2 linked regions of the Nothobranchius furzeri genome follow. The protein of the gene in region 1 interacts with the protein of each later gene in a pairwise test. Links are inferred from orthologs where the notes say so. Each region holds a gene or a part of one and is shown on either strand. Other genes may lie near its edges.

What was found.
Region 2: the proteins of tsen54 (region 1) and tsen2 interact in a two-hybrid assay, tested with the Homo sapiens proteins (2 studies listed by BioGRID and IntAct). The two-hybrid records come from large-scale screens. The link is inferred for Nothobranchius furzeri from reciprocal best matches to the Homo sapiens genes TSEN54 and TSEN2.

Annotation. Positions count from the first base shown.
Region 1 is NC_091745.1:25,422,055-25,426,450, reverse strand, and holds the end of tsen54 (tRNA-splicing endonuclease subunit Sen54), read right to left. Parts: intron 1,666-4,396; coding exon 1,552-1,665; exon of another isoform or gene 1,388-1,551; intron 1,316-1,387; coding exon of another isoform or gene 1,312-1,315; exon of another isoform or gene 1,271-1,311; coding exon 1,120-1,270; 3' UTR 1,096-1,119; exon of another isoform or gene 777-1,095; intron 608-776; 3' UTR 562-607; downstream 1-561.
Region 2 is NC_091743.1:77,138,756-77,143,273, forward strand, and holds the start of tsen2 (tRNA-splicing endonuclease subunit Sen2), read left to right. Parts: upstream 1-1,672; 5' UTR 1,673-1,801; coding exon 1,802-1,972; intron 1,973-2,253; coding exon 2,254-2,320; intron 2,321-2,401; coding exon 2,402-2,441; intron 2,442-2,519; coding exon 2,520-2,780; intron 2,781-3,377; coding exon 3,378-3,525; intron 3,526-3,604; coding exon 3,605-3,679; intron 3,680-3,758; coding exon 3,759-3,809; intron 3,810-3,887; coding exon 3,888-4,032; intron 4,033-4,165; coding exon 4,166-4,202; intron 4,203-4,518. Other genes in the region: MKRN2 opposite strand protein, read left to right, coding at 100-149, 684-852, 919-1,141.

The sequences.
Region 1 (4,396 bases):
AGTTGACCTTCATTTAACTACGTTAGTCGATTGAGCACCCATTCTCATTTACAATGATGACCGGGCCAAGAGGCAGGCAACACCATGAGATGTTGCTGAACATGGAGGGTGGGGGCTATACATGTAAGCACGAGTGTTAAATAAATGAGTTAAGCATATGAGTGTCACAGCAAAGGGTCTGAATACTTAGGATCATGTGACATTTCTGTGTTTTTCTGTCAGTATGGGGTGCTGAGTGCACATTAATGAGGAAAAAATGAATTTAATTGATTTTAGCAAATGGCTGCAAAACAAAGAGTGAAAAACTGACGGGGGTCTGAAAACTTTCTGTACTTACTGTATGTAAAGTCAAACTTCCTGTCACCCTTTTAAACTCTGAATAGTTTCTATTGTAAAATCATCCAGTGCTAAATGTTTTCTGACAATTTTTTTTTTACGAAAAGAACTATAGGGATGCAACAATACCACTTTTTTCCAAACCAATACGATACCGATACTTGGATCTGAGTACTCGCCGATACCGAGTACCGAGACGTTTACCACACAAAAAAATGCAATGAATTGGAATACAGGTTTTATTTTCTTCTCTTCTTTCAACAGGAAAAGACTGTGAGGAAGATAAAAAATAAAATATATTAATAGAAATTATCACATATGATCATGCATCCCTAAAATGAAATAGTTTAATATTATGAAGCATATTTGCATTCTTCCACCATAAATCATAAGAACATGTTTGTTCATTTAAAAGATGCGTTAATATATCATTCAGTTTGTTCCTTAGAGTACTAAATATAAAACAAGAACCTTTCACCAATAATCTCTGATGCCAGTTTGTTTTGAATTCCTGTTGCAAACGTAACTGCTCAGGTGTCAAAGTGGCAGCAGGTTATAAAGTCTGATGACTTTTTATGAAAGATAAAGTATGATTCTGATAGATCTAGTCCCCAAGAGGAAACAAAAAGCTTCTCCTAAGTGTCGACAAACTGATTGGCCCTGTATAAATAAATGTCCAGTAGATCAAATCTTTGCCACCAAAACTAACTTTCATTAAAAATCAGAGCTAGAAAATCCATCCAGCAGACTCAGACTGACATAAATGTCCTAGACACGTGATCCTCAGGGATAGACGTCCCGCGGCAGCTGGAAGTCTTTGAAGCTGTAGAAGGAAATGTCTCCGTGGTCGACGACAGCAAAGACAACGGGGACGTCTCCGCTCTGAAAGGTCAGCTGCTTGATGACTCCCAGATCAGGAACAGGACCACTGAAGCTGGAACAGAGTCAGCTCTGTGAGAATCATCGGCTGAAATTTCATCTGCAACATTGAGGAAATCACTCTGAAAACTCATCAACAGGAAACTAAATCTGAGAACAAAAACAAACTCACGGTGCCACAAGTTCTTATTAGCGTTCTCCTGACATTAACAAAGCAAAAAAACAAAACCATCAGTAATCTATCCTCATCAGAACAAAGGGCTGGTTCGGGTCGTGTTAATGGTTTCTCTGAAAGTCAATCCTGAATCAACAAGCACTCCGGCTGTCATCGCTCACCTACAAACACACATGCGGGCGTACGGCTTCCCCGGGTTGCTCTTCCTGAAGTCAGCCACCGAATCAGGCTGGTAAACATTGAAACAGATCCTCCACTCGTCCGCGCCTTTTAACCTGAGCAGACAAAAGGACACCGGCTCAAAGTCTTCGCTCTCAGAGAACAGCAGCACAAATAAAACAAACCCGAGCCCACGCTTTAGGAGTTAAAGGTCATAAAGAGTGACACGAATCACGCCCGATTTATCGTCTTCTTTCAAAGGCGACTCAGCGCCGACTAGGGTTGTCACGGTATGAAAATTTAACGTCACGGTTATTGTGACCAAAATTATCACGGTTTTCGGTATTATCGCGGTATTTTTTAAACGGTGTTGCATATGTTCAGAAAGCATTGATAGTCCTGTTCTACACAAACTGAAATAGTTTTGAAAAGGTTTAACAGTGTTTATTAAACCTAAAATAACACAAAGCCTTAGCAAAAGTGCAACTTTTCACAAGTAAAGGAACAAATAGCTTCTTTTTCTGCAACATGTTACAGTAGTCAGTGCAGGTTTAAATTATACAAATCCAAACATTCAAAACATAAACAATATGTAAACAAATCAAAGAAACACCACTTGTTTTCTCATATACTTGTTTTCTTCATTATCAAAATGAAAATCTAAAACTCCAGTCCACACTTGACTTGAGCACTGTACAAGTCAACCTTAAAAAATATGTATTTAAAATAAATATCCACTTTAAACAAATTACTAAAATTACTACTACACTATGTAATCAAATCCAAATGTTCAAGTATAAATGGCATTGAATAAATAAACAAATCAATGACAAGGAACTAATTGTATATTTCTCTTCATCATCAACAAATAAGATGCTTCATCCAGCAACAGGGTGTCCGTGACACGGTTTAAATGCTGGCAGAGAACGCTGCGGCTGCAGTATATAGTGACTCGTTGCATTCTCCCTCAACCAAAAGTCCTCATGTCATGCATTTAAGCTAAAATGCTAATGTTAACATTTATTAAATGTCATTATTACTACTATTACTGTTGTTGTTATTGGTAATGGTTTTTACTGTTTATTGTTGCTAGAGGTGCTGAAAAAACCGATTCAAGTCTGAATCGGGATTCTTATTTATAAAGATTCAGAATCGATTCACAAAGGTTCAGAATCGATTCCAAGAACTCAAACATTTGGCACGTTACAGGTTTGAGAAACACTTTTGTGATCTTTGTTAGGAGAGTCAATACTCCGATTACTTTCGTAAACATGGCCTATCATTCCATCTGTATGCTGACGATTACCAGATTTACTCTCCATTGTGTCAGGAGAAAGGTCACTCTATTCAGTCCTTTGTCTCCTTTGTTAATGAGGTGAAGTCTTGGCTAATGTCCAACTATCTACATCTGAATGAGGGAAAGACAGAGCTCATTGTTTTTCACCCCAACAGCAGGAATGTGGATCGTTATGCTGATCTTGGCCCTCTTTCTCCATACTCAAAACCAGTTGTTACCAGTTTGGGGGTGAAACTTGATGTAGGACTTAAATTTGATGCTCACATCAATTCTGTGATCCGGTCCAGTTTCTTTCACCTGAGACGCCTTGCTAAAATCAAGCATATGCTGTCGAGAGCTCACCTGGAGCAGGTACTGCATGCCTTTGTAATTTCTCAGCTTGACTACTGCAACTCTCTCTACGCAGGGTTGTGTCAGTCAACACTGCGTCGCCTACAGGTTGTGCAGAACAGCGCTGCCAGGTTCCTGAATGGGACCAGGAAACGGGACCACATCAGTCCAGTTCTGGCCTCCCTGCACTGGCTTCTGATTTGCTATCGCTCACAATTCAAAATACTCGTCTTTGTTTATCATTTCTTCCAGGGTGGTGCTCCCCCTATCTGGCCACACTCCTGAACAGACATTCCCCATCACGCGCTCTGCGCTCCTCTGACCAAGGCCTGCTCGCTGTCCCTCGGTCTAGGTGTCGTACCCGTGGGGACCGGGCTTTCTCAGTCCTAGCACCGTTACTCTGGAACCAGTTGCCACCCTCAGTTAGGCTGTCCCCTTCTCTGCCAGTCTTTAAGAATCACCTAAAATCACACCTCCTCCGCTTGGCGTTTCCAGAACATGTTTGATTATGGCCCTCTATTATGTTGAATCCATTCCACAGTTTTCATTGGTACACTCAATCCATCCACTCAATCCAATTGTGTCTCACACATTTGTATTTTACCGGAATGTTTCATCTATCTTGTAATTTCCATTTTGTATTTTGTAATTTGAATTTCTTTTATTGTTGATTTATTGTGTATAATTACTTACAACTGTACCATGTTCAGCGCTTTGGGCTTCCTGACAGGGTTGCGGAAGGCGCTTTATAAATAAAGCTTTGATTGATTGATTGATTACTTTTGTGGTCCCATAAATTGAGATGATTTATGTTTGAATCTGCTGATAAGAGGGCCCTTGAATGTCATTTTTTCCATACTCAGAAATTTGAGATATTCTCATATTCATTTTCTAAGTTGATAAATGAGTACTCAGGATTACTCATGTAACTTGTTTCTACACATACTTGAAAAGTATTTGACCATATTACTTTCACAGCTACTGTTAGGTAACTACAGATCATGTGTTATATTTTACAAGGTAAGCAAAAATAAATGTTGCCTTTTGGTCAAAAGATTGTTTCTGTTTACAGTTTTAGAATCACTTTATTTTACCTTGTAAATTTGCATTTTTGGAGCATGACCAGTTTAAAGTCTAATAAAAATGTCCCGTAGCTTTAAATAACTTGTACAACAAAGTAGTTCATCCTGGAGCCGACACTCTTTGTTAATACTGATTGT
Region 2 (4,518 bases), on another chromosome or scaffold:
CTTTTTTATCATCTAATTGTAACCAGTGTCACCTGGTATGTTCCAGTTCAAACCAGTTTGAATTAGTCTAACCAGCATTTTCTGCTGTTTGTGTCTCAGAGACTTTGACGGGACGTCCGATCTGCACACCGGCATCTCTGACACTAAAGGTAAAAGCTCGACCTGAGGCGTGTTGGACCGGGTCTGCGAGGGTTAAATGGACTCAAGCACTGAAGAGAGCCAGATGTTCAGAGCAGAAACTGTTTATCAGCACTATCGACTGAACAGCCAATTGCAGCAGCAGCAAAGATGCTGTTAGGAGGAAGTCACACTCAAACGGAAGCCACCATCAGAAATTTGTGTGTTCACACACCTCTACGAAGCCTTGCTTACAGGAGAAGTTCATGTTGATCTTTGACCTTCAGGAGAGAAAAGAAAAAGTCAAAAAGATGTGAGCGACAATATCTAAGAAGGAAGAAACAAAAATAAATGAAAAAGTTATAAAATGGTTTGATGTAAAGATTTGCCTGTTTGTGTTTGTGTCCCACCTGAGTGTCTCACCTGAGTGTCCCACCTGTGTGTCTCACCTGTGTGTCTCACCTGAGTGTCTCACCTGAGTGTCTCACCTGAGTGTCTCACCTGAGTGTCTCACCTGAGTGTCCCACCTGTGTGTCTCACCTGAGTGTCCCACCTGTGTGTCTTAGGAGTTGTGTACAACTACACTCAGGATGGCGTGCAACGGGACCAAAGCGGATGGGAATGCTGCATCAGTGTCCCGCTGGTCCGACCTGATATGTTCCACCTGCTGGATCAGTGGGACCAGTACCTGGAGCGTTTCTCTGATGGACCCATGTGGGATCCTGTGTGGCACAAGTAAGTTTCATGTGAGACATCCAAAGTTCTCTCCGACCACCACCTGACCACCAGTGTGTATCTCAGGTTCCACGAGGACGACCACAACTGCTTCAGCTTCTGTCTTCACTTCCTGAACAGCATCCTGGAGGCAGAGGGACGCAGCCCTCTGAGCAGAGAAGACTTCACCCACTGCTTCATCCTGCCCAAGATGAGGAGGGTGTCCAAATACACCACGCTGTACCAGCACATCCAGAAACACCAGTATTATGTGGTGGACAGACAGGAGGACACCACGCCCACCAGTTAAACCAACTTAATCAGGATGTCATTACCCCCAAAATACCAAAATTCTAAATTTAAATGTAACACTTAAAGAAACACTGCAGATATAAAGCAAATATCTAAAAACACAAACATCACCATAATGGAGAGGACCTCTGACCCGGGGGTTTCGGTGGGTTTGGTCTGTTCTGGTGTTTCAGAGAATATTTATTATTCATTTAATTGTCTGACATTGTGAATAAGTGAAACTGATTTCATGTTCTGTTTTTGTTTGAGTCTTTGGTCCTTCCTAACTTTGTTTTGTATTGTTTTATTTATTTTGTAAATAAAAATTTATGTGTGGCCTGTTTCAGACTCAAACAGAAACAAGTGTCTGAATCAATTAGAACCGTAAAGTGAACAAAAAGTCAACGTTTTAAAAGCTTCTGAAGATAAAGTGAAGTACCGGTTTATTGTAGATTATACTTCAGACAAAAATCACATGAAAATAACATTTCAGCTGTAGGAGGAACCGATAAAATTAGCCGATGTTGGCGCACGAACATATATTTAGTTACACTGCCTCGTCCGACAGTAAAACAAGTCCCCTCGCTGAGTGCTAACAGATGCGCTAACAGAATAATACCGACCCTACAGTTCTCACCATCAGCCCGGAACCAGCGCGGGCTCTGCCGGAGCCGGCACCATGCGGGCAGAGTTCCGGGCTCCCCAACGACGAACCCGGGTTTATGAGGACTACGAGGCTCCGCTGCCGGTGAGCCGGGACCCGCATGAGAGGAAGGTCTACCGAGCGGAGCTCATCAACCAGCAGGTTCTGGTCTGTCATCCGGACCACATCCAGAAGATCCACAACCAGGTCAGAGTTCGTTCACATTAGAAACCAGGTCTTGTTCTTCGTCTCCTGTCAGCCTGCCTTTAGTTTTTATTCCATTTCTGTCCACTCGGTTGTTTGGTTTGAATCGGAGGCAGGCGAGTCTCACGTAAAATGTAGTTTGTTTTGACTGACAGCTCTGGGTTGTTCAGAGATCCTTGAGACCTTCCACTGGTTCCTTCCCGGTTCCTCCACACTTAGCCCCCTGACCTTCTGAAAGCTGTCAGTAGAACACATCTAGACTGACCAGAGTTTGTTGTTTTCAGGGTTTCTTTGGAAAAGGTGTTCTGTCCAGAGCCAGGCCCAACCACAGCGTCTCGGACAAATGGGAGCGTGAGTTGACACCTGCAGTGATGTCACTGTCAGTCTGGTCCAGTCTGTGCTGTTCACACCTGGTCTCTGTTTGTGTTACAGAACACGCAGGTCTACTTCTGCCTGTTGTCTCTCCATCCAGGTCAGTGCCATCATAAGCTACCTGTTCACACAGTGACATCACTTCTGTTATGATGATGTCACACGTTATCTTTCACAGGTATGAGGAGCTGCTCAGATGGGCAAAGGAGGCTCTCTCTGCTGAAGGACTGGATGAAGAAGTGTTCGGTAAAACCCTGCTCGCGTTGACTCGGGCAGTGGACATTGAAGATGTAAAGAAGGAGTTGGGAGGAGGGCAGGCAGAGGGGGAGAACGGAACAAGGGAGGAGGAAGAAGAGGTGAAGCCAATAGAAGCCTGTGATCTCCCAAAGGGGCAGAGGTTGGAGTCAGAGGTGGAGCCAGAAGCCAAGAGAGGCTGCAGGTAAATGTAGACTGTTTTATGTCAAACCAGCACACTTGGCTTTGTTAGAACCCTGAAGGTCCTGCTAAAGTACCAATAAACTAAAGACATGGTTAAAAATGAAAGGTACAGGTGATATTCAAAAGGACTGAGAGGTCAAACACAAATTCTGGCTCAGGACAGCATTTGTAGAATGACAGATCAATCTAGAGTGAAGATTTTCATGACTGTGTTGAAGCTGATAGAAACAGCAGGTTCTTGGTCCATCTGAGCTTGCATGAAGGTCCAGATTTCTATCCAGAGAACTGCCGTTTGGCCTGGGAGGGTTCTTGGGTCAGTGCTATGGGGCTCTCTGTATCCCTAATGGGCCAACATAGACCAGCTAAATCCCCAAAAGAACCCCAGTGAGTCTGATGAAGCCCCAAGTTGGTCAACAGGCATAGGTTTATAGGATTTTAAATGCAGCAGAAAGCCTTTGAGACCAGGGAAACATAATGCAGGTACAGCAGTAGCACAAAGAGGCTGATGGAGGGAGCTGTGAATTCAGGCCAGCGTGCAAGGAGTTTTGATCAGTTGGTTTTCTTCGACCGAATAAACCTTTTTCTTGTCAACATTCAGATCAAATCAACAGGATCCTGATTCTAGCTCTGAACAGGACTCTGACTCAACCCCAGATTCTGGTCCTGATCCAGCCTCTGACTCGGATCTCGATAATGGTCTTATGGTTCCAGGTCCTGGTTTTGTCCTGGTGGTCTCTGAAGGTCAGGTGGGTCTCTGAAGCTGCAGGTCCTGTTGTGTTTCTGAGCTGCTTCTGTTGTTGATGATTTGCTGTCGTATGGCTGCAGGACGGAGGAGGAGTCAGAGAGGTGAGGCGGAGTCCACTGTCTTTCACAGAGTACCTGCAACTTGGTCTGGAGGAGGTAACACACCTGAGTCATGGACTTTGATTAGGTTTGCTTCAGTATTTACCTGCCCACTCACCTGTCTGCTGACCTACAGGCCTTCTTCCTGGTCTACAGTCTGGGTTGCCTTTCCGTCTACCTTCAGCAGGTGTGTAGTGTTAGTTCATCGCTTGGTTCCTATCATAAAGAGTTGAACTTGTCTCTGTTCTCTCCTGTGATTGGTCAGGAGCCACTGTCAATCATCCAGCTTTGGAGGAAGTTCCGATCGCTTCATCCTGACTTCATCAGCTTGTACGCTGCTTATCATCATTTTCGCAGCAAGGGGTGGGTCCCTAAAGGAGGAGGCGGGGCCAAGTATGGTGCCGATCTCAGTAAGAACAGAAATCACACAAATATCTAGTCAGTCAACAATCAGAGCAGATTTACCCAAAAATGCTCTGGTGCTGTCAGATTTAAGGTAACGATGATGACTCTGAGAAACATTCAGTCTGTGTTTGTTTCCAGTGTTATACAGGAAAGGACCGCCTTTCTACCATGCCAGGTAACACACACACACACACAGTCGTACTTGTCTCCGTATCCTTGTGTGGACCCTCCATTGACTTCCTTTCATTTTTGTGACTTCACTTTTCCTAATCCTAAGCAAAACCCATGGGGTTCTATTTTTAACCCTAACCTAAACTAAGTGAATTCACACCATACCTCTAGAACCAAGTGTTTGGGTGCTTAGCGTTGTGTGGACCAGCAAAATATCCCCACAGTGTAAAAATGTCCTTGCGTTACAGGTTAAAGTTAAAAGTACACACACACACACACACACACACACACACACACACACACACACACACACACACACA